Neurospora crassa OR74A: one gene and its partners. The protein of the gene in region 2 purifies or fractionates together with the protein of the main gene of each other region. This does not show direct contact. Links are inferred from orthologs where the notes say so. Each region holds a gene or a part of one and is shown on either strand. Other genes may lie near its edges. The genes, in order: NCU07058, NCU08968 and NCU07956.

Region 1 (3,748 bases), on a different chromosome or scaffold from region 2:
CCTGCTGGCCGGGGAGTATGATCTCCGTCTTGCCCATACCGAACTGCCTCCGACCGATGTCCGTCTCTTCGACATCGTCAGAGTCGTAGTCGGAATCGAGGTCTCGGCGAATCTGCGCAATCATCTCATCGTTCTCCTTCCTCTTCTGGGCTTCGCCGCGTTGCATGAACTTCATCTGCATCAGCCCCGACTCGACCTCGCCATCCGCGTAGGAAGCAGCGTGCTCGAGCTGTTCCAGCAACCGTTTCTTGTTCTTCTTCTCATCGCCAGACTCGGCAGAGTAATCGTCGGAACCACTGTCTTCAGAATCCTCCTCGCCCTTTCTGCGTCCCTCGATCCGGCGGCGCAGCTCCTCCTTCTGGCGAGCAGCCTCTGTCAACCCAGCGCGGAAGTTGTCGTCCCACACTGCGCGACCGGCCTTCTTGCCGAGCTTGGCCCACTTGCTGTCCCGGTGACGAGTACCGACGCGCTCGAGGGCTCGCCTCCTGTCCAGAGCCTCGCGCTCCTCTTCTGAATCAATCTCTCCCGCCTCAACCATGGCATCATGCATCTCCTGCTCGTCGTGGAGCAGCTCCTTGCGATGAATGCGACGGTACGCCTTGGACTTGATCTTCTTGATGCGCTTCTGGCGGGCCTGCTCGCGCGAGAACAGCTCACGCTCGCGGCGCTTCTGACGGGTGATTTCTTGCATCTCAGCGGCCGAGAGACCCTTGCGAGCGGCAATCTCCTCGACGTTATCCTGGTCCTCCTTCTTGGGCTTGTTAGTGGGTCCCAAGCCGGATTCCTCCATGATGGCCAAGATGGTCTGTTCGAGCTCGGTACCCGCCGTGGCCTTGGTCACGGGAAGGAGTTCTTGACTGTCGAGGCCGGCGTCGTGGGCATTTTGCGCGAGGGGGAAAACCAGGTGATCCGCACGGCGGTTGTGCTTGACTGTGTCGATCCAGCGCTCGAGCGTCTCGGAGGTCTTTTCGTAGGCGGCGGAGCGGAGGAGCTTGTCTTGTTGCCTCTTTGCGAGGGGGATGTCGAGCTTCTTGGATTGCCCAGGCTTGGCGGCCTTTTCCTCCTTGTTCATGAGCTTGAGAGACTTCTTCATGTGGGGGTCCTGGACGCCAAGGAGGCCGAGATCTGAGAGACTGAGTTTGTTTGTTGGTTTCGAGCCTGATTGCTCCTCGTCGTCGTTGTCGTCGCCCGCAAACCCGGAGATCATCTTTTGGAGGTCGTCGAGCTTGGAAGGGTCTTCCATATCGTCGTCACTGTCTTCGCTTTCGCTCGATTCGCTGTCCGCGTCGTCTTCCGATCCTGACTCCTCTTCGCCCTCCTCCTCCTCGCTGCTTTCATACTGATCCAGTGCTGTGGCGAGATCGATGGCGTCGGAACCGAGCGACTCCAAGTCATCGTCCTCATCTTCGTCCTCTTCCTCCTCATCACTGTCGTTTCCACCCTTCTTCGCCTTCTTGCCCTTCTTGTTGGAGCTGCTCCCGCTGAAGGCATAGCCATCGAACTTTTCCTCGTCGCTCTCACCAAAGGCCTCATCAGAGTCGAGTTCGGAATCTTCGTCATCAGCGCCTACACCAACGTGCCACTCCTCGCCATCGCTGTCCTCGCCACCGTCGGAGAAGCCTTCGAAATCGTCGCTGTTTTTGGCCTTCTTCTTTTGTGGCCTGGCGTCCTCGAGATCTTCCTCATCCTCGTCTCCGTCCTCATCGTCTTCGTCGTCGCCATCTCGTTGTCTCTTCTGGGGGCGCTCTTCGGGCTCGTCGAGGTCTCGTGTGCGGACGCCCTTGGCTTTCTTTTGGGGGACTTGTTCGGCGGCAATAGCGAAGGCGTCGAGGACGTTGTTTCTGGATTTCCTATCGGCAGTCTTGTTGTTGACTCTGTGCTTGGGACGCCCTCCGCCGCCCGACTTGGGCATTAGAGGCCTGCCGTGGGCTTGACGGCCGGGCATTTTGCTGGTATTTGAGAATTGACTGATTGGAAGTCGGAAGGTAATTCAGTCAATTAAGTTCGAGGTCGAGCAAGCAAAAATTGGGTGATGAGATTGTCGACGAAGTCCAGTGGTTGGATGGAATGAATCGATGGATGTCAATGTCCAACTTTTGCCTGCACGGGTCCTGGAGGTCGAAGTGGTCAGGTCCCTTCAACGGCAACTCCCACCAAGCCTTCAACTTTCTGCCAGTGAACAAGCTCCCCCGAAACTTTTTCTGCCGCCTCTGTAATCGATAATTTTCGGGCGGTGAGGGCGCAACACCCACCCATTTTGCGGGGCCGCAGCAGGCTACAGGGGTACCTGTTTCTCCCAGCCTCACGTCATTGGCTCAATTGAGCTCCAAACTTCTGAAATGGCTCCACCTCAACCCGGCGCGGCCCCGGACGTCTTTGCGATTTCTCGATTCCAACCCCGTCGCCCGTCGCCCGTTGCCCGTCGCCGTCCGTGTTGTCCAGCGCCAGTCCGAGTCCGAGTCCGAGTCCCGTCTCCGTTCCTGTCGCGTGCGCCGGATCTTCAACACTCTAAAGCGGATCCCGTCTCCGTCCCACTTGCGCCCACCTCAACCACCCTCACCACAGCGAGGTGCTTCCACCACCCAGATCACCGACCACAAAAAGCAATTCTCCGTCGTCGTTGCCCCGCAAAGCGCAATCCTCCTAGCCCACCATGCAGCCCACTCGCATCCTCCAAGGTCTCAAGTACCGCAAGTTGCGCCTGACCACCAAGGACGTCAACAAGGGTTTCTACAAGGGTAACCGCACCGGTTCCATGGGTACGCACACCAGCTACGGTACCTACAAGATCGACTACACCAAGGTCCGCACCTATGTGTGCCCGGACCTGACCGGTTTCAAGGTGGGTGGTCCTCTATTTCCGTCCGGGTTTGGGGTTGGAATGGGATGTGTTGGGGGATCTGGTGCTAGGGGAGGGACCGAGAATGGAGGACAAAAGAGAATAAAAAAGAATTATGCTAACAAGATCCAACAACAACAAAGCTCACCCCCTTCGTCTCCAAGACCATCCGCCCCGTCCACGACCAGTTCCCCGGCGACAAGCTCGGCCCCAAGAACCCCGCCACTTACCTTGCTCGCTGGAAGTCGGAGAACGGTCTCGACTAAACGGTCGTCATTTTTTCAAGGAGGGAGGAGGAGGACATTACGATACCAGACCACGGCGAGGAAATGGAGCGAGGCTCACTCAACTATCAAACTACCAAACGCAATATATACCCAAGTTCTGATTACATTCCGAAAGCCTGCCGACACAGACCCGTTCGAAGGACCACGAGCCACTCTCCACTGTACATTATATGACCTGACCACCAGGAATCAACCACCTAGCAGCTCCACTGTTCTGGGTCATATGTGAAATTGGAACATGTCCAGGTTCTCTGCCTTTGGAGTCGCCACGCTGCTACCTAGGCTGATGGTCTCGACATTCCTACCATTGAGATACAGCCTGATAGCTAACCATACGTATTCAAAGAACACTCGCCTTCAGAGCTGCCTACGATACATCTCCCCTTTCGGATTGGTTCTTTGAATTTTGATGTCACGATGATCTCGCCGTCACATTTCTTTTCTTCTAGAAGAGACAAGGCCGATTTATATGACTATACCCAAAGGTGTCCAATGGTCCCTGTCCGAGATTCAAGGGGGTCTTGTTTCAGTTGTTAGATTATTGAGGGAGCGAGATCGGGGATTTTAATAGGGTTAGGGCTTAGGTCACTCTTGTTGATTGTTGCCTAACCTCTATTTGCCC
Region 2 (3,748 bases):
CCGGCGATGGCATGGGTGCTGAGACCTTCGTGGTTTTTGGGCTATGGGTGTTGGGTGCGGAGGATGGAGGTCGAAGAATGGAGGAGTGGAGGAGAGAAGGACAAGAACGGCGACACATTTTAGTATCCAGTGTCGTGCTTTCCAAAATATAAGTTGCGGTCACCATTTGTTCTTCTTCTTTTTCTTTGCCCCTCTTCAATGGTTTTGAACAACTGACAAGCTATCGAAAGAAGGCTTCCACGCTTTCTGGCTTGGTAACGACGCACTCGGCGCCTGTTACTGAGAGAGGTAGGGTAGGAAAACAGCTTGCTCTCCTGTGCTTTCCGTTTCCCTGTTACTCCAAGGACTCGGTCCCGTAGGTCACTGACCACTCCCCCGATCCATGGTTTTATTATAAAAGACATCTCGATGCGGTAGGTCTGGTATTGTCAGCAATTGCTTCTCAGCAATGTTTGAGCAACGTGACGAAGAGAACAACATCCGACGCTCAAGCAATCCAAACGAAAGATGATTATGGTTCGATTCCTGGCAAAAGTGGCAGCCAGATTCATTGGCTTTTATGATTGTGCAAATCCTAGCATCCAGATCAATGGTATTTCCACGACAAATGGAACAAAACAAAGAATTTTTAAAAAACGACATTTTCCCAATCCCCAAAAAACGCCCCGTACGCCGATGATTTCTGTGCGTGTTCGCAATAATAACACACGTCTAAGAGAAGTGAATACCCTCCTCGTGGAACGCTGTCAGGAGTGTTAGCGAGGTTGTCCATCAGAAAGGGAAGCCGAGGGGGAAGAAAACGTACCAAGCAACAGCTTGAGGAAATCGTTCTGATCGCACTGCCTAGCTCTCTTGTCCGCCAAACCGGTGCTCGTAAGCACCTTGTTCAACTTGGCCTTGACTATCAAGGCCACCTTGGACTTGGGGTTCTTGCTAGGTGTCTTGGCGTCCTTAGCGTTGGCGTCGTTTTGCTCCTTGAAGAAGACGGGCATGTCCTCGTCCTCATCCTCCTCCATAGCCTCGTCATCGTCGTTGTTCTCTTCGTTATCATTGTCTTCGTTGTCGTCGTCCATCTCGACGTCCATGGCATCGTTGGTGGCGCCGGCGGCAGCAAGGTCAGCCGCGGAAGCGAGGGACTCGTCGATGGGGATGTTGTTGAGGGTGCAGTAGACTTTGTAGTTCTGGAAACGAAGTGGTCAGTAAGAGTTGGAGCTTGTGAACACATGGGAAGAAACGTACCCTCTCGCACATGTTGAGGACCTCCTTCTGGTTGAAGCCGGCATAAAGGGTCTTGTTCTTGCGGTTGAAAGCAATGCGAAGGAGACCGTCGAACTCCTCAAAAGCAATGTTGGGGCGCGCCGAACCAACAAGGGGCTCAATTCTGACGACGTCGGACTCGACCTTGGGAGGAGGCTTGAAGTTCTGCTTGCCGACCTTCATGATGTGCTTGCATGTGGCCCAGAAGTTGACATTGACACTCAATCTCGAGTAGAGAGCATCACCCGGCCGAGCCACCAGTCTCTTTGCGAATTCTCTTTGAAACATGAGTACGGCGACGCGGGGCGGGTTGGGCATGGCCAACATCTTGAAGATGAGCGGACTGGAAATTTGGTAGGGAGTGTTGGAGATGAGAGCGTCGCATGGAGGCATTTCGGGCATCTTGATGACATCGCCGAGAATGACCTCGAGCTTCTTGGCTAGCGGAGTGCCCTGGACACGCTTGGTAACTTCGGCACCCATACGAGGATCGAGCTCGATGGCGATGACCTTCTTTGCCTTTTCAAGGGCGCGGACCGTGATGTTGCCGGTACCGGGACCGACTTCGACGACGACATCGGTGGGCTTGAGGAAGGCCTTGTCGACAATGGCATCCGAGATACCGGGGTTCTTGAGGATATGCTGGCCAAAGTCCTTGTCGAACTTGAAGATGTTGGTGTTGGTAGCCTTGCCGCCGCCGCCGCCCCCCTTGCGATCGTAGGGGTTGCCGCCGCCCCCCGACTTCTTGGACGCCTTCGCTGCCTTGGGCATGGTGTAGTCTAGTCAATGCTGTCGTGGGTAGGTGTGTGGAGGAAGACGACTCGGAATCGAGGTCGGACGAGAAGGTTGGGGGATCGATGGAGGGTTTCGTCGTTTCGGTCGATCTCTGTCCGGGTCGAGACTTGGGCGGTTCGTTCTCAAGTCACGGCAGTCGCGCAATGGCTGTAGTATGTACCTCTATTGTGAGACGGACAGAGGTACCGCAGGCTGAAGAGAGCTTCCTTGTGCCTGCGCCGGACCCCGGCCGACATCTTTTTTTTGAGTGGATCAGGCGGCAGAAAAAAAGATGCCCCGCCAGACATGTGGCTGATAAGATAAGCAAAAGGCTGACCGCTTTCCCCATTGAGACACCATGCGGGCGGCGGCGGCGGCCCAGCCCACTGGAAACATCAGTGGAATCCAGGCACCTCGGCCACTTCCGACCGATGATTCCCCGTCTGACGTAACAGCGGAGGCCGCCCTAAACATGTGCGGCGGGTTCAAATTGCTACCCAGCACTTAAACGGCAAATCCTCCGGTCTTTCAGTGAGGGTCTTCCCCGTCATCACCTAACTGCCGTGTGAAGCTGATCACATCGAAGCAGACAGGCAGTGGCTTTGAATTTTCATCTACCTACCTATAATACCAACCCCCTCCCAAGGTTCGAGGAAATCGGATTGTAAAAAAAAAATAACAGATTCTTTTCCATCATCTTCTCCTTGGCTCATACCTGGGCGTGTGACCCACTGGTTATTCCTTGTTGTTTTGGTTCATGTGGTGATAGCCTCATTTCTCTGTTGAAGTTGACGATAATCAATCGCAACCATGTCGATACGGATCGCCCTCGAAAACCCTCCCGAGTTCTACACAAACCTGGATATTATCCGCGGCCAGGTCGTCCTCACTCTCAGTCGTCCCGAACAGATCGGAGGCATCATCGTCAAACTCGAGGGTGAAGCCAAGTCGGCCTTGGGAGTACCCGCCGATGGCTCAGGGACCGGCATTGCTCAGAGGGAGCGCACTCCAACCGGCGATGTTATCTACGAGAACCACAAGATCCTATACAAAGTCACCCAGGCCTTTCCCGACGAGAAGACCAACGCCTTGCCACAGCCCTATGTCCTAGCCGCTGGTCAACACAGATTCCCCTTCCAGTTCAAGTTTCCCTTCAACAATGCTTGTGGTGATCCTGTCGCCATGGCCAAACTAGGAGGCCTTTCTGGTGCCGGTGGAATCGCGTCGGGTTCTGGCTTGTTCGGTCTCGGTGGCATTCGTGTTATGGACGGCACCAAGCAGCTGATGTACTCCCATGTCACAAAGACGCTCCCACCCAGTTTCACCGGATTCCCAGGCCAGTGCGAGATTCGATACTATGTCAAGGTTACCATTCAGAGACCGGGCTTTTTCAAGGAGAACTGGAGGATGCAGACCGGCTTGAAATTCCTTCCTATTGAGCCTCCAAGGCCGCCCAAGACGAACCACGAAGCCTATGCCAGACGACCCTTTGCATTCCGTCCACGAAGCCCAAGGACAAACGCGTCTTCCAAGAAACGAGCTTCTTTCTTCAGCGGGTGGACTGGGAGTAGCAATGCAGGGTCATCTTCAGCCCCAACAACAACAACAACAACGGCTGATGGAAAACTTGCAACGGAGCCCGAAGTGCCTCCGTCGATAGAGATGTCGGCTCGACTTCCACACCCTGCCATCATCACTTGCAACCAACCGATCCCAC
Region 3 (3,696 bases), on a different chromosome or scaffold from region 2:
CGTTTCCTGGGCAAACACCGTGTTGATAAAGAGGATGATGAGGGAGAAGAAGGTAGTTGTGCCAACAAGAATCCAGACCAAATGACCGAATAAGAAGAAGGACACAAACGCTCCCCATTCGTCGGCGTTCCAGGGGCGCATGCTCCTGATGGAGAACCACTTGAATCGGACCTTGAGACGCGACCAGAACCCGCTTGCTGCCGCCAGAAGCTCTTCTTTTGTGGGCCGATGAGGCAAATGGGGGAGGTGAGGAAGGTGAAGGTATTTAGACATGGAATCTGCTATTGATTCATGTGCGGGAGTCGGCTGGGAACCAGAACCGGAAGCCGTCTCGGTATTCGGTGGCTGCTGTGGTTGCTCGGACTTTTGCTGAGGAGAAATTGTAGAAGACTTGGCTTCGGCCTTGGTCTCGTCATGATCACCCTTGGTCTCTTTGCCCGAACTTTGGAATCGCTTTCCTGTCTTGCATAACGTTGTGGTCGTGGTGTTCTGTCGTATCCTTCGCAAGAGTAAAGCCTGCCGAGCCAAGTGGCCCATTTTTGCCTTTTGCGCGGCATTGCCGGATAGTGCGGATGCCTCTACCGTGCTCGTTGGAGAGGGGCTGGTGGTGAGCCCAAGGAGGAGTAGGCCTCCGGAGGTACAGCTTCGTAGGACATTATGGGATGGTTGTGACTGTTGATAGTGTAGTCTTTGCGATTTTGTTGCTGGGAAGAAAAAGCGACTTGCGGAAGAGGTAAATTGTCGCGTGCTCTGCTGCTGTCCGTATCGCTGATGGGACCCCAGCGATGTCGAGGGGCCAAGTCCAAGACTTTGACGACTCAGTAATGGCTGACAAGTTGGAAGCAGTATCGCGGCTGTGAAGAGATTCGAGGTGGTGTGAAGATCTCGTACTGAAGACCATAGCTGGCGGCCCAGCTGGGTCGTCGTAGCGCTAGTAGACATTGTTGAAATTCATACTGTCGACCGAGTAAGGGACCGACCTGTTCCTTTTTTTTTTCCTATGTTTTCAGCGACGATGGTGATGACGACAGCTCGGTGCCGTATCCATGGTCGGTCCTCGAGGCTGAAAATCAGATGTTGTTGCTTGGTGGTGGGCCGAGTCTAGAATGACATATGATGGTGCTCCTGCTCTGACCAAGAACCTGGAGTTTGAAAAAGCTGCCGGTCCAGGTCCCCGTCAAAAGTGCGTCAATGACGCTAACCTTGGGATTACAGGGATTCCTCGGTAACTGTTAGTGCATGGGCGTTGCGATTGGCAAGGGTCCTAGCCCCCATGCAGCCAATCGATAAGCTTCACTTGGGTACTCTTTTGTGGATCCACTGCTTTTTGTCAAGAATTTCCCCTCTGCGCTATCAAAATCGATAAACATCAAAATTCTAGAGACCGACGGCGCAAAAAGGCAGAACTTCGACTCCCAGATCTCCGCAATTCACGACTGTAACCCAGCATCCCGACACTTCTTTCGTCGCCCGTCACCAGTCTCTCCTCCACCCGATTTTCGAAAAATCTGCCATTACTCTTGGCCGGCGATTTCCCAAAATACTACCGACTTTAATCAACAAACAACCCGACTCGGCCCCTTGACCATCACCCACCGATAAACAACACATCTCGCCCAACATGCCTGCGCCAACAGCACTTCGTCAGCCTGTCAAGGCTCCCGCCGCCCAGATTCCTATCCAGACCGAGCAAGAGGACGAGCTCATTCTCGATGTCAACGAGGCCGTCAACCTCACCGATCCCAGCGCCGCCGCTCCCCCTTCCAATGACCAAGATGTGCAGATGGCTGTAGACGAGGAGGGCCGCCCCCGTTTCGCCCCCGGCCAGGACGTCCAGATCATTCGCCGCGCAGAGACCAGGAAAATTGGTATCCCGCCAAACCGCATGTCGGCCCTCAAGGCCAATTGGACCAAGATGTGAGACGGAAAACTACGGAAACATGTGTGAATGTTTGGGCAAGGAAGACTGACTGTTTTCCAATCAGCTACCCCCCACTTGTAGAGCACTGCAAGCTCCAGGTCCGCATGAACATCAAGGAGAAGCGCGTCGAGCTCCGCTCCAGCAGACACACCACCACCCCCGAATCCCTGCAGATGGGTGCCGATTTCGTCTCCGCCTTCGCCATGGGCTTCGACATTGACGACGCCATTGCCCTGCTCCGTCTCGATTCGCTCTATATCCAGTCCTTCGATGTCAAGGATGTCCGTCAGACCCTTGGCCCCGATGCTCTGGGACGTGCGATTGGTCGTATTGCAGGCAAGGACGGAAAGACCAAGTTTGCGATTGAGAATGGTACGTTCACCATTATGGGAGAATGGAAGAGATGACGCAGAAGTACTGACAAGATGTGAAAAGCCACAAAAACCAGAATCGTCCTCGCCGGCTCCCGCGTTCATATCCTCGGTGCCTTCGAGAACATTGGCATGGCCCGCGAGTCCGTCGTCTCCCTCATTCTCGGACACCAGCCCGGCAAGGTGTACAACAACCTCCGGATCATTGCCTCGAGGCAAAAGGAGAGATTCTAAGCTCTTTCTTTCACGAAAAACGGCAACAATGTGTTACACTTCTATTGCCGCTATTCTCACCTAATGAATGGTTCACGCACGGGGCTGCATGGTTCAGTCAACAAAAAATCGACGGTTTTCATCACATAAGGGGCGAAGGTGGCATTTCGGGAGCTACGCTTAAAAAGGGTTCTGGCGTTTAGGAGTTCATTATGCTTTTGCTTTGAGTTTGGAGAGTTTGAAATGGGCGATTCAGTCAGTCATGCTGGGGATATCTACGAAGGTGTGTAGAAGCGGGAGGAAGAGGACGGGATATTGGGGAGCTACCGCCTTGCGAATCTTTCAATGTGTGGTTATGATCTATACCCGGAGGACGAGAAGAGAAGACAATGAACAGAGATATTCACCAAAAGGCGGTTTAGTGCATATTGGCTGGCAAGGTCGATTATTGTGCAGAGAAAGTGATGTGGGAAACTGATCCAGTGCGCTCATTTGGTTGAGGTTCAATTCCATGGTGACGGCAAATCAAGCAAAATGTAAGGAGCTGATGTGATGGGCACCAATGTAGCCAGGTGAGCCACGATAGATTGGTTTCTTCAGGTCATACAAGTAGTAGTTATTTCCATCCATTCTCTTATCTCGCTTGTTCCGCATAAGTAAAGGTCTTGTTTGTTTTACAGTCCAGATGGCGAACCGTATATCGAAATAGCAGATAGAGCATAGTCAAACCCCTCGATATTCACCTACGATAGGTGGGATGAGACCATCTTAACCCGAGGAGGCTCTTTTTGTGCTCTGACTGACCAACTCCCATGACTCATCAAGCTTGTTGAAATAAAGTGAAGGCAAGACGTAGCAAAAAGTGATATACGTATGGGTATCTTCTGAAGAGCTAGGGTACCACCTCCGCACCATGAACCGTGTCCTGGAAGGACTTGCAACACTCCAAACTCCGTAATCATCTGTCACAACTTTAAGCAAAAACAATAATCCACTAGTCACCGCCGATTTCGTAGGCCTGACGAATAAGCCCGGTAAACTCCAACCCCATAACAGCTAAAGAAATGTGCGAATAACGTCTCCCAAAACCCAGTCTCCATGTTTATTCTCCAGGTCATACACTACTTGATGTAGACCTCAAACTGATTGGTCTCGTCCCTCTCAATGTCCATCGCCCCAACCAGCATGTTC

Evidence for each region.
Region 1: the proteins of NCU08968 (region 2) and NCU07058 purify together in Saccharomyces cerevisiae (affinity purification with mass spectrometry; 3 studies listed by BioGRID). This does not show direct contact. The link is inferred for Neurospora crassa OR74A from reciprocal best matches to the Saccharomyces cerevisiae genes DIM1 and UTP14.
Region 3: the proteins of NCU08968 (region 2) and NCU07956 purify together in Saccharomyces cerevisiae (affinity purification with western blotting; 3 studies listed by BioGRID, with this or other methods). This does not show direct contact. The link is inferred for Neurospora crassa OR74A from reciprocal best matches to the Saccharomyces cerevisiae genes DIM1 and PNO1.

What each region holds. Positions count from the first base shown.
Region 1 is NC_026506.1:332,731-336,478, forward strand, and holds the start of NCU07058 (small nucleolar ribonucleoprotein complex subunit Utp14), read right to left. Parts: upstream 2,203-3,748; 5' UTR 1,946-2,202; coding exon 1-1,945. Other genes in the region: NCU07057 (hypothetical protein), read left to right, coding at 2,654-2,842, 2,983-3,105. UniProt on the Saccharomyces cerevisiae protein: Involved in nucleolar processing of pre-18S ribosomal RNA.
Region 2 is NC_026505.1:5,864,550-5,868,297, reverse strand, and holds NCU08968 (dimethyladenosine transferase), read right to left. Parts: upstream 2,277-3,748; 5' UTR 2,029-2,276; coding exon 1,240-2,028; intron 1,182-1,239; coding exon 806-1,181; intron 744-805; coding exon 712-743; 3' UTR 506-711; downstream 1-505. Other genes in the region: NCU08969 (hypothetical protein), read left to right, coding at 1-152; NCU08967 (arrestin domain-containing protein), read left to right, coding at 2,842-3,748. UniProt on the Saccharomyces cerevisiae protein: Specifically dimethylates two adjacent adenosines in the loop of a conserved hairpin near the 3'-end of 18S rRNA in the 40S particle.
Region 3 is NC_026504.1:1,226,239-1,229,934, reverse strand, and holds NCU07956 (pre-rRNA-processing protein PNO1), read left to right. Parts: upstream 1-1,370; 5' UTR 1,371-1,621; coding exon 1,622-1,917; intron 1,918-1,985; coding exon 1,986-2,293; intron 2,294-2,356; coding exon 2,357-2,526; 3' UTR 2,527-3,130; downstream 3,131-3,696. Other genes in the region: pod-1 (mitochondrion biogenesis protein), read right to left, coding at 1-942; NCU07957 (hypothetical protein), read right to left, coding at 3,627-3,696. UniProt on the Saccharomyces cerevisiae protein: Required for small ribosomal subunit (SSU) synthesis. Has a role in the processing of early nucleolar and late cytoplasmic pre-RNA species. Recruits DIM1 to nucleolar pre-RNAs.